Mus musculus: one gene and its partners. The protein of the gene in region 5 interacts with the protein of the main gene of each other region in a pairwise test. Links are inferred from orthologs where the notes say so. Each region holds a gene or a part of one and is shown on either strand. Other genes may lie near its edges.

Region 1 (4,300 bases), on a different chromosome or scaffold from region 5:
AAGGTGTAAAATATATTGCATGATCTGATGGAAAGTTTCATGCAGAAAACCCAGAAAAGGCCTAGCCTACACATATCAAAGCCAAGCTAACTTCCTAGATTACAGTAAAAATCTCTTCCTACTTCCCCAAACCACTGAAGTTAAATATACCTCGCTGTATTAAGTTCAGCTGTAACTACAACTGTAACATACATTCAACTGAACCATGACCCATTTTTTTTTTTTGTCTCAGAAGTGAAAGGGGAATTATGACAGTTATGAGACTTGCATTTTTTCCATTTCAAGATCCTTCTGAACAGATTTCAGCAAGGCCCCTCATGACATTTATTTGCTTTGCAACATATTTATCTATACCATTGCTTAGGAGACAGCATTTTAATAACTCGCTGATAACAATTATATTTTTCACCTACTTTTCAAAGGAAACAAAGCAAGAGGCTTTTGGCAAGGAAAAATGGTAATATGTAATATGATACCTAAGTCCAAAATTCAATTATAACTACATGCTATAACTACTTAGAAGACACCAACCATTCACACAACAAATACAACATTAACATATATAAATAAATGTGGTTTAAAATACCCACCCCTAGCAGAAAGCTTTTTGGTGTTGATAATTTTGGCAGCATACTCTTGTCCAGTAGGGATTTTCATACATCTTCTCACCACTGAGAACGCCCCCCTGGAAACCAATAATTAGCAAGTCGTCAGTATAATCAGATCTAGTATCCACTTGCAAACTCACAAATCTGAGCGGTTTCATGAACCTTTAGTGGTCTGTCAAATAGCAACATAATAAAAGCATTATCTAGAAAATAAACAATTCTTTCCTGCCAGCCCAGATCTTTTTTAATGTTGTGGAATGAAAGTCGTTTTTAATTGACTGGAAACACGCAGATTATTAATCAACAAAATAGAAGGTAATGCCAATTATGACCACTCTTTTTTGCACATGAAATTTGAAAACAATTTGTAATTCACACTCACAAAACACCAAATGCTCATAGCAAACCCTGCAAAGGACCGAGCTGGGGAACAGAAGAAAAAAAAAAAAAAACTGTTTATTTCGGTAGGAAACATAATTAACGTGGTTCCAACTAAGTAAATATGGCGATTGTTTTCATTAAAACATAAATCTCGAGCTCACTGGTGTGCTTTAACAGGTTCTGGGGTAAGGTGATTTCTCTCTGCCTGGTTTGGGCTTGGGGGGAGGGGAGAGATTTAAATTAAGCTGCTCTTCCGACATACTCCATGTTTCAACAGCAGATCATCTATAAAGATATCATTTTCATTTGATTTAAAAGTGCTCACACTTCCTTTTATGCAACTGTAAGGAAACCTACAGCACACACACACACACACACACAAATGCATCCCTTCCCTGATAGTGGAAATTAGCGATAGGTTTGGGGTTTGATGCTCGGTAAACCAACACTCCCTCCTGACTGAGTCTCTAGTTGCCCCTGTGCAGATCTTCAGTAGGTACCCTGTCCCTCCTTAACATCTCAAGGAAGTCCTGCCACTTCAGTGGAGGAGGTCGTTTTACACAAGCTAGGCTACCCTGGGGAAACGCTCTCTCGGGCTCTAGGGCTTTCCTCTGCCTGGATAAATAAATCCTCTCAGAGACGATGTACACCTAAATCCTAGAATGATGGTGAGCGACTCATCTTAGTGCAAAGAAGGATAGCGGATACATGGCAGGGACGTGGGTTCTGTTGGGTGGCCCTTTTCCTGAACGGAACAACTACTTGGATGCCGAACCAGACTCTCCACCAAGCCAAGTTGAACTTTCGGCATCGATAAATATGGCACCATCTCAGAGAGCGAGTGTTCTCTCGTTAGCTCATCCGAACCTGGGTCAGATCGCAGATACAGCGCGGGCTGAGCAAGAGACATCTATTTACCAAAAATGTGATAAATGTTGCATTTTACATGCATCTCCTTTCCTCTCCGAACACACATACACACACATTCGCACTCGCGTGCGCGCACACTTCTCAGGATGACAGCTACAACTGCAGAGATCATAAATTCACTAAGTCCCCCGTGGAGAGGTGGAGGACCCGAGAAGATGGGCTGGGAATTCGGAGCACCCGCCACAGTAGGGCAAAGGTTTCCTTCCCTGTGTGCCCCACCCGCACCAAGCCAGGGTCCGTCTCCCCGCCTCGGCCCGCAGGCTCTCTATCCCCACGAGGGAGACGAGGGGTCGTGGGGAGGAGGAGATGCCAGGCAGGGACGCTTACTTTCCGAGCTCCTCAAAGAGCTGATACTCGTCGGTGAACCGGGTGCAGGTGGTGGTCGAAGCCATGGCGGGGTCTGGACAGTGCGACGGGCGACACGCGAACAGACCTGGCTTCCCGGGACTGGCGCCGCCGCGCTGTCACCCGGGGCCGCCCTCACTTTCCGTGTCCGAAAGTAGCTCGCCGGCGAGGGAGTGCGCGCAGGGGCGGGGCGCGCGGGGCGAGGTGGCCAGACCAGCCCGCTCCGCGATCCCTTGTCCTCTCCTCCTCCCGCCGCGGTGGCCGGGCCGAGGGCTCCCGAAGGGGCGGGGGAGAGGTGTCAGGAGGGGTTGCCGCGGTCACCGAGGCCGCACGGAGAGCTCAACGCAGCGCCCGGAGTGGCGGGCGGCAGCGGCCGAGTGAACACCCAGCCGGTCGTTCCAGCGGGCAGAGGAGGCGCTGGTGGCCCGCGCTCCCTCCTCTCCACGGGGCCGCAAGGCTGGGAACCCGCGGGGCGACAGAGTGCGCTCGCTCGGCTCGGGCGAAGCTGGCAGCCGCGGCTCCTCCCCGGCGCCTCCTCCCTCCTCTCCCCGCCCAGCGAAGCCCCCTCCTCGGCGGCCCCACACCTCCCTCTAGCGACTCCAGCCGCGTCCCTTCGGGCTGCTCTCCCGCAGCCGTCTAGGGAGACCGAAGGGAGATGCGCGGAGCAGCAGGGAGCGCGCTTAAGGGGACGGGACTGAGATGTCGCAGTGACCCACGAAGGGCGGAAAGATGAGAGACCACTCGAAGCTCCCACAACCCGGATGCCTCTACCCGGGCGGGATGGCCGCGAGGCCGGGGAAGCCGAGAGAGGGAAGCAACCCTTGCATCTGGGCGCGGTTCGCGTTTACTGCTCCCAGACCCGGGTCCAACGTCCCCCGGCTCGCAGCTACTGCCTGGGGCTGCCAGCCTTGGCCACCTCTGCTGCGCCCGGCTGTCCCTTAGCTAGGGGCAAAGATGGTCAGGGCACCACGTTTCGCTTCAGTTTTTACTGTCACGTCTTCGCCCTTCTCTCCCCTTTTCCCGACTAGGGCGATCCCCATAAGCATTTGCTTGATCATAAACTCTAACATAATGAAACCCAAAAGTGCACCACTCTGCCACACCTTCCTTCCTCTCCAGAGTAACTCCCCTGTAACCTCAGCAAGTTCTGATAGTAAGAAGGCTTCTCGCGAGATGTCCCACGCCAGTGGCGAGGGGGTGGGGCGGTAGGAAGGTTGGCTGTGGGTCACGCGACCCAGAGGGGGCTGACGTCATTAGCGTCACGTGAGCGTGCCTAGCCTGTTTCGCGTTGCCGAGGGAGAAGGGAGAGGGAGGGTGGGAGTTCTTTACCTGCATTCTCAAAGAGCAGGCCAAGTAGGGGCACAGGAGTGTACTCCCTCAGTGGCTATCTGGAAAACCATTTAAGAGTTCAAGAACGTGTGTACAGTTAAGCATATCTGACACTGTTGCTTAAAAATTAGCATGGAGAAAAAAAATTAGCATGTAAGATGGGTTAAGGTGTAAGTGGTGGCTAAGATCATTTCTGAGCCTTCTTTTCACTTCTGAGTCTTTAATAAACGAGGCAATTGCAGATTTAGAGGCCTACGGAAAATAGAGACGCATCATGAACTTTTAAAAAATTTTCTTCAGACTGTTGCTTTTTGTTCTACAGCAGGAAACCATAAAATCCTGCATTTCTATTGCTTATGTGCTCGTGCTTAGAATCACATCGTGCACTTAAAATTTCACAGTGGGAAGATGATAGATAACTTTCAGTTAGGGAGCCTGTACATGCTTTTAGGGCGGCTATAAGTTACTACTTTGCAGGTTCTTTTATTCCCTGTTCTAAAGAATGCTGAGTGGCCTTTGAACTGAAGTACTCAGACGGCCATATAATTTTTAAATGCTTTTTTTTGTTATAGATTTTGCAAATATTACTCATACTTCTAATAGCCCTCTCCCACTCAACACAAGAAAATACTTTTTGAATTTAGTCATCATTCAATGTCTGCATTGTTTTGCCCATGAAAATGTCATTTACTGGCCTGTTTTACTAT
Region 2 (4,189 bases), on a different chromosome or scaffold from region 5:
CCAGGCCTCTTATTTACAGATTCCTAGCTTTAAATAAAGTCATGGTGAAAGAAAGGACTGTGGGCCAGAGTCAAAGGAGTTGACCTACATTTCCATTTTATCTATCTATCTATCTATCTATCTATCTATCTATCTATCTATCTATCTATTGGTTTTTCCAGACAGGGTTTCTCTGTATAGCCCTGGCTGTCCTGGAACTCACTTTGTAGACCAGGCTGGCCTTCCGCCTGCCTCTGCTGAGATTTAAAGGCCTGGCTACATTTCCATTTTAATGTCTCTATTTTCCACCAAATTGAATTGTTGTAACACACTGGTTAAGTAACTCAAGAGGCCCAAGGAAGCAGATCTGTGAGAGGCTCACCTTACCTCTGGATGTCAGAATTTACTAAGCTTTGTGAAAAAGAAGAAACTAAGTTGCCAGCTCTGAGGGCGGAGCCCAGGTCTCAGCACCAGTGTTCTATGCTCTAGTCTTAGTCAGGATGCCCCACCCCTTCCCCTGCAGCCACAGTCTTTTCTTTCTAGGATCTCTGCTATCCTCAGGCTGCACCAGAGACTGCAGAGACTGTAGCTAACTTGCTCTGAGTTGATTTCTATCAATACAGTTTAAAAGCTCTCTTGGTCAAACACTTCCAGCATAACTGGGGGCACAGATTAACCCATTGTTAACTTGCAATTCCCACCTACTTGGGCATCATAGGCTATCTAACTACCCTATTCTCCCTTCTACCTAAGCTTTCAGGGAGTCCTGTTAACGCTTCCAATATCTACTTCAAATTCCTGTTCCTCATTCCCAAGGTTACCACCCCTATCCAACCCACCATCTGGAGTCTGGCACGGAGCCCTGAATGGCCTCTCAATTCACCCTCCAGAGTGACCACAGGAATTTCTTAAGAGCATATATGAAATTAAGTCATTTCCATGTGCAGACCCCTCCGGCCACTTTACCTCAGAGCAATGGTTCTCAACCTGTAGGTGGAAACCCCCTTATCAGAGATATATCAGATATCCTGCAGATCAAATGTTAACATCAAAACCTATAACAGTAGCAAAATTACAGTTGTGAATGAGCGATGAAGATAATTTTATGGGTGGGAGGTCACTACACCATGAGGAACTGTGTTAAAGGGTTGTAGACTTAGGAAGGTGGGGAACACTGCCTTAGAGTGACACCCAAGCCTTAAGAACTATGCCCTCAGTGGCCACACTCCTAGCAAAGCCTTCTAAGGCTGTTCAGAGCCTTTCTGTTCCTCGCTCATATCCAACCTCATCTCAGGCCACTCTGCCCTCAGTCCTGCCCCACAGACAAGTTGTCCTTTAGGCAGGTCCTGAGACAAGAATGGTTAATCCACCTGGAGACCATTTCACAAGCATTCCCTTTGGCACGCTAGCCTTTCCCAGGCTGGCTTTTCCCTCATCGGTCAGGTGTTTTAAAATGACTCCGAGCTATATCAGGCTCACTTCCTTTGCTATTTCATAGCTGTATGAACTTTATATTTATGGTTTTATCTGAAATAGTAGTCGCAGACCAGGCATGCTTTAGCTCTGTGGCTTGCACAACTCAGTTTTTCGGTTTAGATACCCAAAGGATCAAGGGCTGCCTGAGGCTGGATCATGCTGGCTTACACAGTGACTGGATAGGTGGGCTCACTTCCCTCTCCTTGCTGGCTCTTTGGCTGAGCCTGTGATGGAGGATTTAAACCTTCTACTAGTCTTGAGCTATCATTTCCAGTGGCACCCTGAACTGGTCATCAAGACCACTTTCTGCTGTTTCCACCCCATTCCCAGACTGCTAGATTTTTTTTTCTAGCAGTGGAAGTAGTCGTTACCCCACCGCAGTAGTCCCCCCCCCCCCACCAACCCCCGCCCCTTCCTTTCCTTTTGATCCTCTGGTAACACAGACTGAAATGGAACTTCAGCAGAGGAAACTGTAGGAACCGAGTTCCTGGGGATTCCCCCACGTGCCTCCCTTAAGAGTCAGAGTGTTGCCTTCTCAAGCTGCCTAGGGCTCAAACCCAGGCCCAGCCACAAGGTTTTAAACTGTACCCTTTCCTCTTGGAGGGTGACAGTTCCTAAACAGAAGAGGACAGTTCTCATTTGAGCACTCCTTGGGGACCCAGGCTCTGGCCAGCGGGTGACATCCTAAGCAGGCAGCTGGGCCTCCACTCCTCAGCCTGTGCCCTTCCCTCTACATTCTTCCCGCTTTGTTCCACATCCAGGCCACGCCAAGGAAGTACTCCAGCAACTTCCCTTCTAGAAGAAAGGCCCTGCGGCCACAGCGAGCTTGTCCCAGCTCCCAAGCCGCTCAGGTCGTTTAAGTCCGGGTGACAATTCTCTGGGGTTGGCGAGAGTTAGTCCAGTAGCCCCAGAGCCTTGGGAGCGCACCGTTCACTGACGTCTCCTCCCGCCTGCCGCGTGGCCACCTCTAAGCCCCCCGCCCCAGTCCCAGACAGTCTCAAGCCCCAGTTAGTCCCTCCTCCAGCACCCACCCCCAGCTCCCTGCTGTCCCAGTCAGTACCCCAGAAGTCCCCTCAGTCCCCCCTCCCGCCCCGCTTCAAGAGCCCTTGCTCTTCAGCCCTGCCACTGCGCCCGAGTGCCTGGCCCGCCGGAGAAGTTTCTGTAGCCGCTGGATCACCTTGTCCGTCACCGAGGGACCTCGTTTTCGGACGCCTGAGGACCCCGAAGAAGACACCAGGGCTCCAAGCCCCAGGCAGAGCACCGCGGGCAGCAGCAGACGGGGACCCGGGCTCATGGTGCGCGGTGGAAGTGGCAACGATGGCACGGGCGCAACCTTAGGCTCCGGGACTGTGGCCGGACGCTTAGCCGCCTGCGCCTGCGCGGTCCCGGTAGGGAGAGTGGTGGATCCGGGCAGGGCGGGGACCTGGGGCGCGCTCCTCCCAAGTTCAAAACCGTGGCCGGAATTGGGGGCTCAGAGGGAGCGGCGTTGTGGGGGAGGCGCAAAGCGGAGTAAGCCTAATAGGGCCCGCAGCGCGCAGAGAGCAGAATACTGACAAGGCTCCTCTGGGACCTAGATGTCCTGGGCACCTCTCCGACCTCCGGGGAGTTCTGGGCGTGCTGCATCAAGTTTCTCCAGATGTCTACCTTTCCGCTTTTGGGGAGTCGTAAGATTCAATCTTCTGGGAAAACTTGAGGTCGAGGGATTTTGTGCGGGTGCTGACTCCACGGCCTTAGCCACAGTTTTCTGGGAAGCCCTTACACAGGCCCTGAACAAGGACCAGATAAGAGTTCTGCCCTGCGAAAACAAAAGTACTCAAACTGGGCTGCGAGGTGTAGCTGTAGGATGATTTTTTTTCAACCATCTTACGGATTAGGAAAATTGATGACATGGAGAAATTCTCATTGCATTTTTTAAATGGAAACAAACAAACAAACAAAAACCCGAAACCCTCATGTGCAAAACCACGTTGAAAGTCTGAACTTACCTCTGAAAATATAAAAACAGCACTTGAAAACCAAGAGATACCTGGGTAGCAGAATGCTTGCCTAGCAGATAGGAAGCCCTGGGTTGAAGCCTTTGTACCACATAAACTGTGTGGGACAGCACACACCTGTGATCTCAACACTTGGAAGGTAGAGGCAAAAAATTAGAAGATCAAGTTTATTCACAACATCCTCGGAGACAGCAAGTTCCAGGCCAGCCTCGGCTACGTGAGACTAGAGGAGGAGACATTTTACAACAGCAGCGATGCTAGAAATACGCATAATAGTTTTCTCTATAGTACCCTACAGCCTGGATGTGGTTATTTTAAAAACACTACATTTTGAAGTTTGAATTCAGTAGAATGTTTTTGTCTAATAAAATGTCACTAAAATTAAATCTCTCCCTCCCTCCTTCCTCCTCCCTCCCTTCTCCCTCCTCACCAGAGAAGGAATCCATCCCCATTGAGGAGCAAGGCTATCTCTCTGAGATGACCCTGCTAGGTGACTGCATATATTTATCTGTGCTTATCTCTGTCTCTCTTATCTGAACCAAACGCCATGGGAACAGGGACGGTGGCTGTTTTTATTTCTACTGATGATTCAGGTCTAGCACAATGCCTCGTGGAGAACGATGAATATTGTCTAATGTTTGTAAAATGAATGATGTGTCTATTTTTTTTTTGCTTTACTTTTTGTTTGTGAAATTTATCATTGTTTTGGCATGTTATGTTGGTGCAAAATGCAAAGTGAG
Region 3 (3,500 bases), on a different chromosome or scaffold from region 5:
ATGGCATGACTAGTAGCCAAGGCAGGCTCTGCAAACAAGAGACCTTGTTTCATTCTCTTTGCAAACAAGAGATCTGCTCAGTGGATAAGGTGTGCAGTTCTCTAGGCAGGCACATCTCCCATCATTCAGTAACAGGACAGTGACTATGGAGATTTTGCACAGTGTGTCTCTGTCACCTGAGTGAACAAGCACCAAGCAAGGCCTTGGGGACAGAAGTATACTCGAGACAAAAATGTACAGGACGGTCCCTGTAGATTCAGTTCTACATAGAGCAACTATTGATTTGGGTTTTTTTTTTCTCACACCCCCTCAGTGACAATTATACTTGTAGGCTCTCATAAAATCATAATTGCCAGTTGAGCTCTCAAACTAGCTGATTCAGGTTAATGAGACAAACTAGACGTACCCAGCCTCGACAGGTAATATCACCAGATGCTCATGGAAAGTGTGAAATCTTACTGGAAATAGCATTTGAAACCGCAGACTACTGGTGGGTTACATAAAAGGTAAAACGGAGAACAGTGTATCAGAGTAAAAAAGGCAGACATTATACCATGGGATTTGTGTGTGAGCATGTGCGTGCGTGCGTGTGTGTGCATGTGTGTGTGATTATAAGATTCCTGAGAAAACAGAAAAATGCAAAATAAAGCAAGAAACCAGTTTGGGGAAGGAATATGCACTGTAAGAAAGACCCAGCAAGAGGAAGCAACAGGACAATAGTACCTCGACATGACGTCTCCGAGCTTTCCATAGAGTCTAACTTTAAAGCGTCAAATACTTCAAAATCAGATTTCTTGACGTGGATCAAGTTATTAATTGTTCCAAGCTGACTGGTAACCACAGGCTGAAACAGTGAAGAAATATAAACAAACAAATAAATAAAATCAAACTGGATACCCTTTTCAATCCACATCGTCACCCAACTGGCCCCTCTCCTGCTATGACAAGTCTCTAGCAGGGAGCCTGGTGCCCATGAACTGGAGGGCATAAAGTCATAAGGAGGCCGCCGAGGCTCCGCTGCAAATGCAGGCCTTACCTCTGACGGATCATGAACCCACTGTCCGTCCACAAAGAACTTGTACTGATGCTCTCCCTCTGGAAGATCCAGGATGGCAACGAAGTCATTATGACTAGAGAAGGAAACAGAAGGTCAGACAGGCCAAGCTCCTTAAAGAAGACAGAGTGTGGAAAAGCAAGAGGGAACGATGGGGCCACCGCAATGACCTCATCCGTTCCTAAGCTACGGCCCTTGTGTGCACCCTACCCCTGCACACCTTAGCAGTTAACACACCTGCTTGTCAACCTCTCCCACTAATGCTGTTCTTGAACATGTGTGTGTGTTGAGGGGGGGAAAGTGTGACTGACAAAACGTTCAGATTTCTTTTTCTTTTTTTTTTTTTTTTTTTTTTGGTTTTTCGAGACAGGGTTCTTCTGTGTGGCCCTGGCTGTCCTGGAACTCACTCTGTAGACCAGGCCTGCCTCTGCCTCCCAAGAGCTGGGATTAAAGGCGTGAGCCACCACTGCACGGCACATTCTGATTTCTTAGAGTTAGGGAGATCGGCTCAACCAGTAAGAGTGCTTGTTGTGAGCTTCAGGACCTGAGTGCGAACCCCCAGTATCCATGGAAAAAGCTGGGCACAGCTACACACGCCTGCAACTCCAGCACTGTGACAAGCAGAACCCGAGAAAAGGCTGGCCAGTAAAGCTGGTAGAAATGGAGGAATTGTGGCTCAGCAACAAGGCTGAAAGCCAGAGCAAGATACTGGGTCTTGCTGTGGCCTTCACATGCACACATATGGGTGCACATACAAATGTACATGCATACATACACACACACACTACACACACACATACACTACACACAAAGCAGAGTCTTCACAAGTATGAATTATGAATAACATAAAAGGTAGGTTTGGGTTGGGAAATATTTCAGGGTACTCGTCCCATAATTTGGTGAGCCTTGTCTGGAAAATGACGTTACATAAAGGGTCACTCTGACAACCACTTAAATCATTCACTACTGCTATGCCAGCAATAAACTGACATTATACCTACAATGTCACAATGTATTTCGCTTTAATACAGAAATCAAAGCAAAAGGATTAGTGTTTTCCAGACTTCTTGCAGACAAGCAATGGCTTGAGAAGCAGAGTCCCGAAGCGTGGACACACAATGCTGTCAGAAGCTCCTGAGGCCCGCTCTCTTCCTTAGGGAAGGCAGCCAGGTGTCTGCTCCTGCACACTGCACACTCAGCAGAGACGCCTGTCCTCACCTCTTTATCAGAGGGATCTTGGTGCTCCAATTGTTGAAGGACCCAGAGATGAAGACCTCCTTGCCTCCTTCAGACCAGCGGATAACGGTGGGCCGGGCCTGCTGGGCGGGCTTCACAGAATCATCCAAATCCTGCTGCCAGGGTACAAACTCTTTGTCCCCGGGGAGCTGTAAGAAGGAGTAGGTCATCCCTAGAATAAATTATGACCCAAGGGTTTTTAAGAGGTCCCAAAGGTTTTTAATGGGCATTAAATTAGGCGTCAACTAAAGTCAGACAGCCCAAATTCAGCAACTGAATCAGGGTATGAACAAACTATATTAAAGAACATATGGCACACATCATTCTCCTTGCAGAACCTTTGCATCACCCTTCAAAAAAACCAAACACCTCTAAATCCTTCCTATTACAGGCCTCGCTTGTATGTAGCAATTAGGATATGCTCCTGAACACCTCATAAGAAACTGTAAGAAAGTTAAGTATGGTTCTTTAAAGGAAAATTAAGCCAGCTATATGTTTTTCTGAGGCAAACTGTTCTCTTTCTATTACAGTTAGAGATACCAAAATTCCTGAGTAACTAGCACTGCTGTTTCAGCTCCTTGGTTATACAACAGGGCATTCACATTTTAAGGGCTGGAGACGGACGGAGTTCAGTGCAGAGCACTTTCCTCCCGAGCACAAGGCCCTGGGTTTCATCTCCAGCACCATCATCCATCAATCGACAGGCATTCAGAAGCCACGCCACTGATCCGGTACCACTGAACCGGTGATGAAACCTCCCTTGCTTACCTAGGCCAGGTCATAAAATCCCCTCAGCAGGATGCAGGACATCCTGGAACTCTAGGAGCACACGACCAAAAGCAGCTTCCTTGAGCAAAAGCAGATCCGTTACTAAATGGGGTTTGTAGGATTCTGAGAAAAACAAATCCCTTAGTTTCTTTCCAAGGCCATCCTCAGGACAGCCGTCGGCCAACTGCAGCCATGAGCCAGACTGCTTTTACTAAGCTTTCGTTTGGGAAACAGCCACCCACGTGTTTATCACCCACAGCTCACTGCTACCGTGCAGACCTGGGAAGTGAAAGCAGAGGGTGTAACCCACAGACTCTCAATTATCTATTATTTGGCCTTTTACAGAAAAAGTTTGCTAATCCGTCCTTTGGGATGGCTTCACTGACTGGTAAATAAGACTGCATGGTACCAAGTCAGGCATTACAAATGAAATGATGAGGGC
Region 4 (3,500 bases), on a different chromosome or scaffold from region 5:
TACAGAAGACGTTTACTGAGGAATTATAATAGCACCACTTCATGTGCTCCCGTGTTAACCTGTCATAGAAGAAAAGAATAAAGTAACCCCAACTTAGATTTCTGTGAGAGGATTTCAACAGCCTTTGAAAACACAGTTGATGACCCAATTAAGTGTTTTCTTTTGTAAGTGTTGCCATGGTCTTAGTGTCTCTTCACAGCAATAGAACATTGACTGAGATAGTAACCATGTAGTTGAAATTATACACATAAACACACATTGCTTACATATTTGTGGTTGCTCACACACACAAACATACACACACATGTGCATTCATGTGTAAAATGCGTATTCTTCTTAAAAACCAGCAAGTATTAAACAATGGACTCTGGGTTCTGCCATAGTCTGTATGTAGTGTGGGACTCTTACCTTGAGGAAGGTCAGGCAGTCCTGGTTCTCACTCTTATCCTTGTCTCGAAGGTCAAAGTTGTAGAGGGCTCTGCAGAGTGGGGGTGGTTGGGGCAGCTGTTTGATGACTTCCACAGAGCTGGCCGGGAAGATCCCGCTGACGCCATTAATCTCCCCCTGGTACCAGTTCTCATCAAGCTGTCTCCGAAGGAGGATGACATCGCCTTTATTAAACTTCAGGTCGCCAGGATTCTTCCCTCTGTAGTTGCACAAGGCCTTGGCTCGAGGCACCTGTAAGTGACACAGGGCAGAAAATAGGAACTGAGATTAGGGGTGGAAGAATGGAATGTCTCATACCAACTACTAATGATAATCGTGTGTGGATCATTTGTCTCATTTAATGTAAATAGCGGTCTTAGTTTCTCCCACTTTGCTCCCTTCAAATACTCTCACATTCCTTTCTCCACTCTCCTTCAAATTCAAGGCTTCTACCTTTACCAATTGCTATTGCATGCATATATGTCCACACATGCACACATATAGTCCCAAATACAACCTCCTCGGTTTGTATAATAATGTTCCTTGCCTGTTTTCAGGGTTGACTGGCACTGGATAACCAACTGTTGTGCTCTGATCTGGGGAGCACTGCCTCTCCTGGGGAGCACTGCCTCTCCTGGTCCCAGCTTTTCTTGGTTGTCTGTAGTGCTTTGTGTAAGATGAGATCTCATGGGCTTTCCTCATCCACCTTAGCAGTACCTTGATTTTATATTTTGATTTGGATGGTGGTTTGTGGCTATAGTTGATTGTTCCCATTTATTTACAGCACTTTATTGACTATACAATAAATACATATGAAAGAATTTTAAATCAGTGTTTATATGCAGGTATCTTTTATCACTACAAAGGTATCTGGAAAAACTAGTGGTATTGTCCTTAATCAGCTTATACTGGGATTGCATGTTGGTGAAACCTCATGGAAATAGTTTCTGATATTACTAGGAGACACAAACTCCCCAATCGCTTGGCTCTCACAATCTTTCTGCCCCTCTTCTGAAATGTTATGCAAACCTCAGGTGCGGGACATCACTGCTCTGCTCACAATATCTAGGAAACAGAAACAACACAGTAACCTTTTGAGACAGAAGTTCACCATTCAATTTACTGATGAAGCAGAGTAACGGTGGTTTGGTAACTTGCATAAGATGACAGACACAGTTGGGGAACGGTATCAGCAAACATTAGCTCTGAACCGAGGAGTTCTGAGTCTAGAGCTTTTGTTGTTAATCCTGATACTGGGAGTATGTGTTAGGATTGACTCACTGCTATGTGACTTTGAGTGAATGTCTTAGTCAGGGTTACCATTGCTGTGATGAAACATCTTGACCAAATGCAACTTAGAGATTAAAGAGTATAAACCCTTTGGCTTATCCTTCCACATCACTGTTTATTATTGAAGAAGTCAGGACAGGAACTGAAGCAGGGCAGGAATTGGGAGGCAGGAGCTGATGCAGAGGCCACAGAGGGGCGCTGCTTACTGACTTGCTCTTTGTGCTTGTTCAGCCTGCTTTCTTATAGAACCCAGGACCACCAACCCAGGGTGGCACCACCCACAATGAGCTGAGCCTTCTCACACCAGTCATTAATTAAGAAAATGTCCTACAGGTTTACCTACAGCCCTGGTGCTATGGAGGCATTTTCTCAATTGAGGTTCTCTTCTCTCAGATGACTTTAGCTTATATCAAGTTGACATAAAACCAGCCAGCACTGTGAGTCAATGATTCTTTCTGGCTCCATACTGATTTTGCATTCTGATTCTGTCTCTTTCTACTTATGTGATTAGGGTTGTTTAACATTTTTTTTGAACTATGTTCATGTATAAAATAAGATGTTAGTAGAATGTCTACCTCATTATGGCTTTTGCGAGCAATAAATAGTATCCATAATGCATCAAACATCTTGCCTAGAATATAATATGTGCCCGGTGAATGTCTTCCTTTATTTAGCATCATGTATAATGGGGAACTAATGACAGCACTTTTACCTACTCCTCAGCATTGATGGGAAGAAAATGGGAGTGGAAACCACCTGCAGATAGGAAGTGGATTGTGAGGGTACTGCAGCATAATTTGGCTACAGCCTTCTGCAGAACTGTGGACCTCATGAGCAGCTGGATCATTAGGAAACGCAACTGAGACAAGGAAACAATTAGTCAGGAATCAATCACAGCTTTTGAATAAAAATCGGCTCGTGAATCGTCATTTGTCAGATTAGTTGTCTGTCTAAATAATTAATGCAGTCAAATGTTTCCCTCCACTCACCCATTGAGCCTGGTTTCTCCACACAGGAATGATCTCAATATGGTTTTATTTGAGGTTGGCTTGGCACATTGAAAGTTCTAACAACTCAGGTTTCAACAAAGACCTTTCTCTCACCAGAGACACTTGTGTATGTTTTTCTAAGCAGTGGGATGAAACAATTCCCTTGCTGTCCCTAGGGGAGATGGAAGAATTTAATTCAGGTCTTCCAGCATTTTCTAGTTCTACAATGCTCATTTGAAAATACAATTCCAAGCTAATTGTAGAGAGCTCTCACATCCCCTTGGCAATGGATAACGGGGCTGTGGATATTGGAAGGAAGGCCTGGGGCTTAGGGAAATACAAGAACACAGCTCACCCTGGAGAAACTGGAGGGTAAGTGAGCAAGGCACGTGGAAGTGGTTCAATAAAGTATGACACACATTCTCGTGGTGAGAGCTCTGTAGTCATTAAAGCTGATGTTGATCCTTTAGCATGAAGCATCACTCTAAATATGCTGTTCAGTGTAATAGAAGTCAGAGACAGGCCTGTGGACTAGATTATCATCACATATTAGCTTAACTGCTTTGGAAAATGTTAGATGTCTGAACCTCACAACACAGATTATTTTTAAGGAACAGTGTTTTCCCCTAAGTGTTTAGTTCTGGTTTTTAAACTTTTATAACAAAATGATCATGTTGCCTATTAAAATCAGACAAACCTGGGAGAAAAAAGAATGGGGCAAAGCTTATAGATGACGGGAGGGCCTATGGAAGGAATCTGGGAAGGACATGAAACTTAGTGGTATAAGGACTGTGA
Region 5 (4,244 bases):
GAGTCTTGAATTACATCCTGAAACAAAACAAACAAAAGATGTCAGTGGGACATTGAAACGTGTGTATGGTCTTTATAATCTAGGTAACCTTCCTGTTAGCCAAGAGAGAAAATGAAGGGGAAGAGGAAGCTCATTCAGTTTCTCTGAAATTCTTAACCACAGACTAACTCTGCAGGTGGACCTCAGAATGCTCATGAAGTGTGGGTTGCTGTGGACTCTGCTGCAAGGCCCTGGGCAAGGGTGCCAGCCCAAAACAGCGCCTCGCTATCCCTGTGCTATGGGCGCGGCAAACACTGCACTGCGCACCTCGGGATCAATGAACCATGCATAATATGCTAGCTACTTGCACTAGCCCAGCAACAAAGTGAAGAGGCTAAACTCAGAGCTCACCAGACAAGTCAAATCAAGTGCCTAATCTCAGTGTGGGACCAGTCCTCTGCATCCTAATCTCAGTGTGGGACCAGTCCTCTGCATCCCGGTACCCTACCAAAGGACCACCCAGTCAACTGGAGGCAGCCAGACACCATGTTCTGGCACACATCCGTCACAAAGAGCAAAAAATGGAAGGAGACAAATTGTCTGAATGAAGACAACAGGCTTTGAAATTCCTGTTCAAGATGAGTGGCCTTGTAAACAATCTCCACTTACCCCACTAAAATACTTACTACAGTACAATCAGCTCACAAGAAAATAGAGCACAGCCAAAGACTTAAACTTCTGACAGAGGATCTAGATAGCTTGCAGGACACAGGAGTGGGGCTCCAGGCCCCACCTGGCCCTCAGCAGTCTCCACAGCCACCCCTGACAAGCAAAACAGCTTCCAAGCAAAGGGAGACAGACCCTGGAAGATGCATAAACAGCCCAGATATAAGGTGTCTGTTATGTGGTCCTCCAAGTCTTGAGGTAACAACCTCTCCCAGACACTAGTGGGGAAAACCATTTTTAAACCCCTCTCCACAGACCCAGGGCCCCCTGCCAGTTTCCTCTTACCTTAAAGTCTAAGGTTTAAGCAATAATAATTAGCACTATTGGAGGACCTGCCATCCAAAGCAAGAAGCTAACATTTACCACCCACCCCCCAAAAGTGATAAACAAGAAGTCAGATAAGAGAACTGAAAAGAACCCCTAATAGTTTTCTCAGCCTGAAAGAGAAAACATATTCATGAAACAAACTACTGAACAAAAGGAAAAGAACAAATACATTCAGAAATTTTTTTTTGTTTGTTTCGTTTTTCAAGACAAGGTTTCTCTGTGTAGTTCTGGCTGTCCTAGAACTCACTCTGTAGAGCAGGATGGTGTCAGACTTAAGAGATCCGCCTGCCTCTGCCTCCCAAGTGCTGGGGCTAGAGGTGTGTACCTCTCTATGCCCTGCTCAGAAACTACAATTCTGATGGTGGATTCGCCGGCCCCCTCCCCGAGATAGGGGAGGTTGCCTATGTAAACACTATGTAAACGAGGTTGCCTCAAACTGGCAAAGATCCACCTGCCTCTGTCTCCTAAGTGCTTGGAATTAAAAGTCCTGCGCCACTGGGGTGAAAGATAAACTGAAGTTCTTTCCTGGAATGAAAATCAAAAAGGAATAGAAAGATAAAGAAACTCAAGTAGTGTGCCCAAATGGGGCGGGGGTGGGGGGGAGGGCGACAAACTCTCTAACGACTTTAAGAAAGGCTCTTGGGACAATCTCCCAGCGCTCGAGGACACGCCTACCGAGCATACCTGCGAAGGGCAGACCTGTTCCAATGCCAAGAAGACCTTAGGCCGGTCCAGGGAGGAAACAGTTACCAGAAAGGAAGTCCTTGGCAGAGGCTCCCTGGGGACTCAAGAAGAAAGCTGACTGAAACACTGCGTCCTGAGCTGACCAGGCGTGCAGCGAAAGAAAGACCTCGGGACCTACCTGCACCCGCCTAAAGCGTCCCCAACCCAGATTAGAAGAAAGGCAGAGAGGAGGTAGAGGGAAGCCGGAGGTTCCACACTATCTCCGAGAAGTTACAATGTCACCAGGAGCAGAGAAACAAAGGCCACCACAAGTAACAAGGAAAAAAAAGAGCCAGGCTGTGCGGGACGGGGACGTGACGCTAGGTGGGGAAGCGAGCACCAGTCTCGGCCCCGATGTCAACAGAGAGCAGAGCAGAGGCGGGCGGACGCGCCAACCAGGGCGAAGTCACCCGGTTACCGGGGCATAGCGCCAACAACGGCCGGGAGATGGGGCCACCTAGGCGGCGGGGCGGCGCGCGGGGCCCGGGCGCAGCGCGCGAGGCTCAGTCCTGAGAGACTTGGGCGGCCGAGCCAGGGCCACAGCGCCCGCGCGCCGAGCCCGTGACAGGAGCGCCGGGCGCGGGCCCGGGAGGCGCCGAGGCCCCGGAGCCGAACGCACGCGAGCACGGCCGCCGGGCCTCGGCCGCTCGCCCGCTCGCTCGCTCGCTTCCCGGGTCCCGCAGCCCCGGCGGGTGGAGGCGCGGAGGCGACGCGCGGACATCCCGCGGCCCGCCGGCCCCCGCCCAGCCCGGCGTGCGGCCCCGTGGCCGTTGGCGACGGTTGGCGGCGGGGCGGGGCGGGGGCGGCCGGAGATCTCGCTCTCGCTCTCGCTCTCGCCCCGCGGGAAGGGGGAGTGGAGGCGCGACCGGCTGCGGGAGCTGCAATTACCGTGTGGGCTGCGGAATTCTCGTGGTGTTTGTCGGGGAGCTGCGATAATGGCGTCCGTCCTCGCGAGAGAAGCAGCCGCTCTGCGCAGGCGCCGCGAGCGCCTCCCCACGGCCTGCGCCCCGCCCTCAGCGCAGGCTCCCTGGGCTCCCGGCTCAAGGGCGGGGCCGGTCGGGAAGGGGGCGGGGCCTGCTCTGGGCGCCTCTGGCGCGCGCTTTCGCCGACGGACTCCAACGAGCATGCGCAGTTGTCCTCCCCTGCTCCGAGAGTTGACTCGCTGGGCCCTTACTTCCCCATCTCACGTCCATGTTACTTGCTAAAGCAGTAAATCCTCCAGTGTTCAATCTGAGGAATGTACGTCCTCTTTGATGGGTGTGAACACACTAACGCTGCCCTGACGACTACAAATCCCAGTGTGCGCTGTGTGTGGCACGATGCGTCCTGGGACTGGTAGTCTCTGCGGCCATGATTTGCCTGCTGGGATTTGTAGTCCATCCGGATTCTGGCTGCCCCATGCCTTCCCTGCCCTGAGGGCTGCTGGGACTTGTAGTGTCAGCGGCTCAAATGGGCTGTACGCTCCCAAACCCGTCCTACCTACTCTACCTGGCATCGGTCTCAGACGTTCCGGGCTCGTTCAGTGGCATTGTCTGGAAAGTTGCCTGACTTCCTTATGGACAAGCTGGTCGTGGGGACACTGTCACTGTGATAGAGATTATATGTGACATGCTTACGTATCATGCAATAGGAGCTATGCAGCATCGATGTGCATTTGTTGCCAGAAATGCCACTAATGGTTCTCTGCACCTGGTCTGTCGTCAGTGTTCCTTTCCAGGCTGTCCCCTTCTGCATGTTCGCAGTGAGCAATCCTACAAACCGGGATTACAGGAGTTATTTTCACTTAGAAAACTAAACAAAACAAAAACCTGTTTCCTGCCCGTTCCCCTGTGCCGATAATAAAGCCATGACTCAGTGCAGCTACCAGCTGGGCAACCTTGGGACAGCCCTTCTAAACCACTGTGCTCTGTCTGGGGTTTGATCCTGTGCCACTTTACCTCAGGATTGTCTTGAAGATTTCAACCTAGAACTGTGCTGTTAAAATGAGACCTGCTGGGCAGTGGTGGCGCACACCTTTAATCCCAGCACTTGGAAGGTAAAGGCAGCCAGATTTCTGAGTTCGAGCCAGCCCAATCTACAGAGTGAGTTCCAGGACAGCCAGAGTTATACAGAGAAGCCCTGTCTCATTTGGGGAAAAAAAAAAAAAAAAAAAAAAAAGCACTGACTGCTCTTCCAGAGGTCCTGAGTTCAAACCCCAGGAACTACATGATGGCTCACAACCATCTGTAATGGGAACCCAATGCCCTCTTCTGGTGTGTCTGAAGACAGTGACAGTGTACCCACATACATGAAATAAATAAATAAATCTTTAAAATAAAAAGAAAGAAAGCTAAGCCCAGAGGAACTACGAGGAACTTGGCCAGAAACTCTTAGAGAGTTGTACTATCTCCTCCCACCGCCCCTCAATTGGGCCCAGATTTTAAAACTGTAGTTGTGAGAGTTCTGAACATGAATGCCTGACCGCACGGAAAAACAGAGTAATGGTGACG
Region 6 (3,053 bases), on a different chromosome or scaffold from region 5:
GGAGGCCAGAAGAGGGGATTGCATCTCCTTGAACCAGTCACTGGTAGCTGTGGGCTGCCATGTAGGTGCTGAAAATTGAGCAAGTACTTTTAACCAGTGAGCTATTTCTCTAGCCTCACTATCTTAATGTCTTTTGAGGCATGGCTTCTCACTAAACTTGAAGCTCATGATGCCGTGAGGATCCCTGGCCAATGAACCTCACTGGGGTAACAGGTACACTTGGTTCTTCTATGGGTGCTAGAGCTACAAACTCAGAGCCTCATGCTATTGTGACAGGCACTTTAGCAATTGAGGCATCTCCCCAGTCCTACAGTATCTTTAACATGTTATTTATTTGTTGTTGCTTTGTAGGCAAGCAGATCAAACCTTGCCAGGTAGGTATTCTAATACTAAAATATAACCAAGCCTTACATAACTTTTGTTAGATATGATTTTGTTCCTGTTTTTTTAACCTCTCCTATTTAATAACCTCCTTAAAAATCATACATATATAAAAAGAATCTGCAATTAAGATTTTATTTCATTCATATCACATGTAACAAGTGCAAGTTAATGTACAAATACTGACCACAACAAAGAAGGGGGAGTAACAATAAAAAGCTTACTTAGCAGATTCATGCAGAGAAATGAAGAAAGAGGACATTGCAGATGTCACGGACCCTGTTTACCTTGAATCATGACAAATGCAAAGGACTCCAACTATGGCACATCAAAGGAAGTCCTACATCAGAAAAACATTAAAGAGTTCATGGAAAGAGGTGGGACTTTCCCCCAGAGTTCTGACAGCATGCTACTAAACTTTATATTTTTAAATCAGTCCTTGAGTAAATGTCTAATTGTGGAATTAGAAAGTACATCCAAAGACTGACAAAATATTTTACCTTCCCCTTAGGAGGACACGCTTACAAACAAAACACTGCCAGCTATGAGTTTATAAATAACCATGGGCTCTCATTTAAAGTGCATTCAGATGCTTAGAAATCAAGGCAAAATATTTCATAGGAAAAGGACTCTTTCATCATCGGAGGTTCCCGAGTAATGGCTTTGGGAACCACTTTCTCAATCTGTGAGCGTGGCAAATTCTGCGGCTGCTGGTTACGAGGGTCACAGCAGGCCTGTGCAGTCAGGTGCTCACTCTGCTTCTCAGCTCACTCTGAGGAAATCCTCTGGGCCTAGAGGACCTGTGGCACGGATGGGAGCTCTTGGAGGATTAGTGTTTCCAGCAACAAGTGAGTCCTCTTCGGTACAGCACCAGCAACTTCCACGTCATTTACAGAGATGCACACAAGAACTTCACAGATCAAATTCCTCGTCAACATCCCTTGGGATGTGTAACTGCACAATCCTCTAATGCCAACTGCTGGAAACACATGGGCACCACGATGTACAAAATTGATTCTGTCCCGATACGCTACTTCCTTCAAATCTAAGTAGGTTTATATAGTTTATTCTTCAACTCCACTCTTTTATATACATTTTTTTTTGGTAATAATAATAGTAAAGATGCTGGTGAAAAGTACTTTAACAATTCATGATGCGTGCAAAAGTAAAAATGTGGATTCAAAGAAAGGTCGTATTTACAATTCTTCAGTCCCAACAGAGGATGACACACAGTTAGGCAATATCGTGACTCACAACATTACACTTGGCTAATGCTGCAATTCCAAATATGGCACAGGGCGAACATGACTGACACCAGTCCGAGGCTTAACCCAGCCAGGTTCAAAGGATTTGGTTTAGGTTGATATTCAGTTATATAAAAAGGTTTCTGAAAGTATTGAAAAAAAGAAGGTGTACATGAAAGAGACTCCGACAATGTTTACAAAATGCCAAAAGTTCTGATTGTGCCCCATCCATAAATAAAGAAGCCTCCTTCCCCCACCCTCCTCCCACATCCAAAAAAGGTAAGTTTACAAAGGTAAGTTTAGCTCAGTGAGCGGAACCAAAAGGTGACTGTTGTTGGACAGTTGCTGGTAAGAAGCTCAGGCATTTCCTAAGAATGCATATGCAGCTGGACGGACAGATGGAGCCCTGGAGTGCTGCTCCGGTGAATTCTGAAGACTTCTCACTTGGGAGCTAGAGCTGTCCTTGTGCTTTGAAGGAACATAATGAGCTATAAAGCAGAAGCCAATGGTGCCAGAATTCACCGTCTTCACAGTTCATTGTGGGAATTCTTCTCCGCAGCTTTGAACATCAGAATAGAGTTGAAAATTTTGAGAGCTGGGCCCAGCTTAATGCTCATGATTTTAACAATGTCTGTTTGGGTCATGAGTAAAAATGCTTCTCCATCAATTTGCTGAAATAAAGGGGGGAAAAAACAGAGGAGTGTGGATTAACCAGAGGGAGTATTGTGAGACTATTCCAAGCTTTATGCTGTATTATCAGCTGAATTCTATACAGCAATACTAACACAGCATACACAGGAGCTCTTAAACACAACATCCCCGATCCATGGGTCTTTCTTACCTAAAACCACACATCCAGCATTGTAAAGCTCAGTTATCTGAAACTGCAGTCCACAGAAGAAGGGAAAGTGGTCACATTTTCTTATAACTTAAAATTGTGTGTGTGTGTGTGTGTGTGTGTGTGTGTGTGTGTGTGAGAGAGAGAGAGAGAGAGAGAGAGAGAGAGAGAGAGAGAGGCCAGAGTTCAGTTACACATGTCAACCTCTCTAGCTTTCCACCTTATTCTCTGAGACAGTGTATCTTACTGAACCTGGAGCTTGCCGTTCCAGCTCAACTCTCTAGCCAGAAAGTTACAGCGATCCCACACCTATTTCTCAGTGCTGGTTTTACAGTTATGCACTGCCACGCTTGAATTTCTATGGGAGTTGTGGGGACCCAAAGGTCATAATATTTACTCTGCAAACACTTCATGAACCAAACCACCTTCCTATCCCCAAACCTTCTTGTGTTCTCCTCAATTAGGTACTGAGTCATTCATATATATATATATATATATATATATATATATATATATATATATAGTTTGTTTTGTTTGTTTGATTTAAGTTACAGAAGATTACAATGTTTTTGGACACAAAATAATTTGGG
Region 7 (4,300 bases), on a different chromosome or scaffold from region 5:
TGCAGGGTAGAGGAGTGAGGGAGCGAAATGCACAGCCGCACCAGAGTATGGCTTGGAAGCCTACCTGCTGTTCCCTACACCAATTGCTCACGGGTAGGCAGGCGGGCAGGCATGTGCGTACCACCAGTCACCCTGAGAGCTGTTCTCGTACTGCTTAGGATTCCCTGGCCAACCTGCCTAAGGCCCACTGAGCCCGGTGGCACTCAACCCAGCCTAGGCCCACGGGAGCCAGTCCTACCTTGTAATGCAGTCCCGTGGGGCCAGGCGCAGACAGGGACTGGGCCATTCCCTGCTGCAGGGGTAGTCTGTGTCCTGCATAGGAGGAGGCAGGGCCAGGGGGCTGCCCAGGGCCAGGAGCATACTGGGCAGTGTTGGCTGCATACTGGCCTCCTTGCAGATACTGCTGCCCAGGATACACCTGAGAAGAAGCAGATGTCCAGGGAAAGAGAGGTATCAGGGGAAAGCAGTTTGCATGCATGTATATATGTGAACGTGAGTGCGTGTGCGTGTATGTGATCCTGTTGGGCACAGGCAGTTCTCTCTCATTCCAGATGCCACCCTTGTCATAACTTGGGAGGGTGCTAGGGTAGTTGACTCATCATCTAGGACCGAACCTGAGCCAGCAAGATACCCACCTCTGAGTAGGCTCTCTTGATCCCCTGTCGAGGCAGTGGCTGCCCCTGCGGAGGCCCAGGGTACCCATGCTGAGGCAGTCGCTGTCCTGCATATAAGGGTGTCATGCCTGCTGCCCGGGTAGGAGTCATGGCCATTGAAGAAAGGCCAGAGGGGCCCATCATTCCTCCCATGCCTGAAGGGTTCATGCCAGGGGGCACACTGGGTCCTCGAGGACCTCCATGCTGCAGAAACTGGCTGTTAAAAGACTGCCCAGTCCCCATCTGAGAGGAGAAAGAAGAGGAACAGTCAGACCCGCTCTCAGCTGCTGCCATGGTCCTCTCTCTCACTGGCCTCGGGAAACCCAGCACAGTCCACACTTGTCCCCAGAACCTGCTGCCTTGCCAAATCTACGAGCCCACTCATAATTACTAGCACATGGAAGAAGCTGGAGGGGGCCTTACCGCTCCATACTGACTTAGCTCCTGGCTCTGCTTCTCCTGCAGGGCAGCCACCGTGGCTGTGGCTGTGGCTGTCGCGGTGGCTGCAGCAGCAGCCATGGCAGCTGCAGCTGCTGCTTGTGTGAAGTCAGTTGAGGGCCGTGCTGCATGTGTGGGGAGCCCCAGGCCTGCAGGGCCTCCTGCATACCTGTAGGTGATACAGGATTGCCTTACTGTCTAGAGAGGCTTTCTCTGGGACACACAGCACTTCTTCCATTCTTTTTTATTTTTTTTAATTTTCTCTCCCCTCCCTCCACTCACTTCTTCCATTCTCAACAGAACTTCCACTGTAGCTACTAGAGACAGTAGGGGAGGAGCAGGCAACATCCAACCCTTCTGCAGGACTGACAGGCTGATGGTTTCAAGTCACTGGCTTACCCAGTAGTGAAGCTGGATCCCCCAGGGTAGCTCCCTCGGCCATACACGCCTTGCTGTACGTAGCTCTTGCTAGCACCTCCTTCAGCAAACGCCTGCTGTCCCAGGCACTGCGGGGAGGTCAAGGCAGAGCTGCCACCTGCCACACCAGGCATCATGGAACCACCAGGGGGGCTTCCTGCAGGGCCCATGGGGTTCCCTAAAACCTACAAGGAAGTGGGAGTCACCAGAGAGAACCAGCCAAACTACTGTCTTTAAGACACAGCCCTAAAGTGCTAGATGCCAAGAGATGCCCAGCAAATGGGGGAGGACCTGGGTGGCAGGAGTGGTTGTCTATAGTTCTGACTGGAAGGGTCTCTGGAGCCAGGGGAAGACATCCCATGGTAGTACAGAAGAAAGGCACCTAGTGACTTGAGACCCTCAGGAAGCCCCATCCTTGTGCTTCAGACAGTCCGCTTGGTCCCTGGTTCTTGGAGCCCTAAGATGGTAGAGGCACCACCAAGACTCTGGATCCTGAGGGCTGGGGGGTGGGGGTGGGAGTGGGGTGGCCCTGATACACACTCACCTGGCTCTGGGTTGCGTTGCCAACTCCCCACACAGTAGTGACCACAGACAGTGACCCAGCTGGCTGAGTGGCACTTTGTTGCCAAGGCACAGACTCATATGCAAATGAACCATCACTAAAAGAGAGCAGCTGGTTAAGGCAGGGTCAGAAGGCCAAGGGCTTGCTAGAGGCAGGCCACAGAAGCCCACACTCACCCGTGTGGTGCAGGGGGCAGGGCGGGTTTCATGGGGTTCATGGGGTTCATTGGTGATGGAGCAGCCTACAGGCCCAATGTGCTGGAGCTTATCCGGGAGTTGCTGCTCCGGCTGCGGGACAGGAGGGAGAAGGCAGGAGCTTAGATGCTCATGGTAGCACGGACAAAGCCAGGGTAGTAGCGTTGGCAAATGTCAGCCCAGAATGCAGTGCAAAGCAACTCTAACAAGGGCTCTGTCATCTTAAGCCATTGGATCAACCCTGGAAAGGGCTTTCTGATATCAAATACTTCCCACATTCCCTTTCCCATATAAATCATAGGAAGCCAGGAACCCTCAGCAGGCCCTGGAGAAGGTCAGAGGGGTAGCCCCCACCCTGCGGAGCCCAGAGACCTGAGAAGGAGCAGAGCTTGAGTGTTCTTTGAGGCAGATGCTGAAAAGTCAGGCAGCAGATGTACAACGGCAGTCCATCCACCAGGTTGGCCTTAGGGTGGCTGTACCGACACGGCTGACACAGGACACAGGCACTGACCCAGCCCCTGGTTGGCAGCTCTCTCCTATCAAGAGGGTGGCAGAAGGGCTTCAGGTCACAGGACCTTCAAGCTGATCCAGACGACTTGAGGGGAGCAGGCGTGTGTGTGTGTGTGTGTGTGTGTGTGTGTGTGTGTGTGTGCGCGCGCGCGCGTGCGTGCATGTATGCATGCATGTAGGTGCACACACACACACACATACACACACACCCCTGAGACAAATATGACCTTAAGTATATGGTCAAGTGGACATCTTGCCCCCCCCCAAAGACCCATCTGTGACACTTGTGAATTCCCAACATGGCAGTGACACACACAGCACAGCAGGTGTGGGGGGTAGTCACAAAGCCAGACCATGCTAACGCACATCTACAAGATGGGACCAACTGGGCTTCATTCTTAGAAAACCGTAGCAGTGGCTGGTGGACAGGGAGGCAACAGCAGGTAAGAGCAGCGACTGGTACAGAAGACTCCCACTCCTTGCCTTTCTCAGTGCCTCATCCACTCAGGTCCTAATATACCCTGGACCACATGCGTGCCTACCTCTGCTTGGTCTCACCAGAATGGCACACAAGCCATGTGTTGGGCACTTCTCAGGGACCTCTGGGAAGGCCTGGGTGCTCCTGTCTGAAACCCTCTCTTGGTAGGGGCTGTGTGATTGCCACACATACCTTTTGAACCATTATCAGATCTGGTGATTTCCATCTTCCACTCAGCACTCACAAGCCTCTTGTCTAGGGGAGAGAGGGGTATCGCAGCACCCACTCAGCTCTGGAACAAACATTTCTTTGTGCTTACCACTCAGGGCTCAGTACAGACCTGGAGGCTCTGCAGGGCAGGGCTACACACACAAAGCCCCAGAACGGATAAGAGAAAGAGAGAAAAGGGGACTGTGACTTGCCCTTGCCTGGGCAGCCTTAGGCTCCCAGAGATCCTTCTCACACCCAGCACCAGGCTACCAGGGAAGAGAAACCTCATCCACCTCATCCACAGGCTCTGTCCCCTGGCCCTCAGAGGCAACTACACTTGATTCTAGCCCAGGCCAGGTCCTGCCTAGGCAGCTGGAGACAGAATGTGCCAGACTGGCAGCAGAGGCTGGCATCTATGTTGCTCCTGCTGGATCCTGGCAGCTGACCTGGTGGGAAGAACTCCTCCCAAGATCTGACATGTGGGGTCTGGAACAACCATGTGGATGTCAGGAAATAGGAACAGGAATCAAGACAAAAGCACGACTTAATGGAAAAGAGAAGAGATGGGAAAATAGCCACACAAATACTCCCAGAGACACCAAAGCAATTCAGTGGAGGAAGGACATCTCTAACAAGTGGTACACGAGCAACTAGAGCCTACCAGTAAACAAAAAACTTCAGACACAAAATATGACGGGGGTGGGAGCATCTCTAGATGTAGCTTAATGGCAGAGCACTTGCCCTGTGTGCTTACACACGTCATGCTCTGAGTTTGAGCCTCACTACTGTAACAACAACAACCGAGTCACAGCATATACCAAAATGAACTAGGTCCTAG

Evidence for each region.
Region 1: the proteins of Banp (region 5) and Camk2d interact in binary tests that used the Homo sapiens proteins (3 or more experiments, as listed by UniProt). The two-hybrid records come from large-scale screens. The link is inferred for Mus musculus from reciprocal best matches to the Homo sapiens genes BANP and CAMK2D.
Region 2: the proteins of Banp (region 5) and Ppic interact in binary tests that used the Homo sapiens proteins (3 or more experiments, as listed by UniProt). The two-hybrid records come from large-scale screens. The link is inferred for Mus musculus from reciprocal best matches to the Homo sapiens genes BANP and PPIC.
Region 3: the proteins of Banp (region 5) and Prkab2 interact in binary tests that used the Homo sapiens proteins (3 or more experiments, as listed by UniProt). The link is inferred for Mus musculus from reciprocal best matches to the Homo sapiens genes BANP and PRKAB2.
Region 4: the proteins of Banp (region 5) and Sh3rf2 interact in binary tests that used the Homo sapiens proteins (3 or more experiments, as listed by UniProt). The two-hybrid records come from large-scale screens. The link is inferred for Mus musculus from reciprocal best matches to the Homo sapiens genes BANP and SH3RF2.
Region 6: the proteins of Banp (region 5) and L3mbtl3 interact in binary tests that used the Homo sapiens proteins (3 or more experiments, as listed by UniProt). The two-hybrid records come from large-scale screens. The link is inferred for Mus musculus from reciprocal best matches to the Homo sapiens genes BANP and L3MBTL3.
Region 7: the proteins of Banp (region 5) and Zmiz2 interact in binary tests that used the Homo sapiens proteins (3 or more experiments, as listed by UniProt). The two-hybrid records come from large-scale screens. The link is inferred for Mus musculus from reciprocal best matches to the Homo sapiens genes BANP and ZMIZ2.

What each region holds. Positions count from the first base shown.
Region 1 is NC_000069.6:126,595,451-126,599,750, reverse strand, and holds the start of Camk2d (calcium/calmodulin-dependent protein kinase type II subunit delta), read right to left. Parts: upstream 2,801-4,300; 5' UTR 2,312-2,800; coding exon 2,247-2,311; intron 686-2,246; coding exon 591-685; intron 1-590. UniProt on the Homo sapiens protein: Calcium/calmodulin-dependent protein kinase involved in the regulation of Ca(2+) homeostatis and excitation-contraction coupling (ECC) in heart by targeting ion channels, transporters and accessory proteins involved in Ca(2+) influx into the myocyte, Ca(2+) release from the sarcoplasmic reticulum (SR), SR Ca(2+) uptake and Na(+) and K(+) channel transport.
Region 2 is NC_000084.6:53,415,208-53,419,396, forward strand, and holds the start of Ppic (peptidyl-prolyl cis-trans isomerase C precursor), read right to left. Parts: upstream 2,801-4,189; 5' UTR 2,750-2,800; coding exon 2,633-2,749; intron 1-2,632. UniProt on the Homo sapiens protein: PPIase that catalyzes the cis-trans isomerization of proline imidic peptide bonds in oligopeptides and may therefore assist protein folding.
Region 3 is NC_000069.6:97,661,212-97,664,711, reverse strand, and holds part of Prkab2 (5'-AMP-activated protein kinase subunit beta-2), read right to left. Parts: intron 2,463-3,500; exon of another isoform or gene 2,461-2,462; coding exon of another isoform or gene 2,440-2,460; coding exon 2,273-2,439; intron 1,131-2,272; coding exon 1,037-1,130; intron 845-1,036; coding exon 724-844; intron 1-723. UniProt on the Homo sapiens protein: Non-catalytic subunit of AMP-activated protein kinase (AMPK), an energy sensor protein kinase that plays a key role in regulating cellular energy metabolism.
Region 4 is NC_000084.6:42,098,710-42,102,209, reverse strand, and holds part of Sh3rf2 (E3 ubiquitin-protein ligase SH3RF2), read right to left. Parts: intron 679-3,500; coding exon 409-678; intron 1-408. UniProt on the Homo sapiens protein: Has E3 ubiquitin-protein ligase activity. Acts as an anti-apoptotic regulator of the JNK pathway by ubiquitinating and promoting the degradation of SH3RF1, a scaffold protein that is required for pro-apoptotic JNK activation.
Region 5 is NC_000074.6:121,949,048-121,953,291, reverse strand, and holds the start of Banp (protein BANP), read right to left. Parts: upstream 2,801-4,244; 5' UTR 2,644-2,800; intron 1-2,643. UniProt on the Homo sapiens protein: Controls V(D)J recombination during T-cell development by repressing T-cell receptor (TCR) beta enhancer function. Binds to scaffold/matrix attachment region beta (S/MARbeta), an ATC-rich DNA sequence located upstream of the TCR beta enhancer.
Region 6 is NC_000076.6:26,273,968-26,277,020, forward strand, and holds the end of L3mbtl3 (lethal(3)malignant brain tumor-like protein 3), read right to left. Parts: intron 2,297-3,053; coding exon 2,153-2,296; 3' UTR 501-2,152; downstream 1-500. UniProt on the Homo sapiens protein: Is a negative regulator of Notch target genes expression, required for RBPJ-mediated transcriptional repression. It recruits KDM1A to Notch-responsive elements and promotes KDM1A-mediated H3K4me demethylation.
Region 7 is NC_000077.6:6,393,625-6,397,924, reverse strand, and holds the start of Zmiz2 (zinc finger MIZ domain-containing protein 2), read right to left. Parts: upstream 2,801-4,300; 5' UTR 2,637-2,800; intron 2,358-2,636; 5' UTR 2,297-2,357; coding exon 2,247-2,296; intron 2,168-2,246; coding exon 2,053-2,167; intron 1,694-2,052; coding exon 1,491-1,693; intron 1,261-1,490; coding exon 1,077-1,260; intron 897-1,076; coding exon 636-896; intron 419-635; coding exon 239-418; intron 1-238. UniProt on the Homo sapiens protein: Increases ligand-dependent transcriptional activity of AR and other nuclear hormone receptors.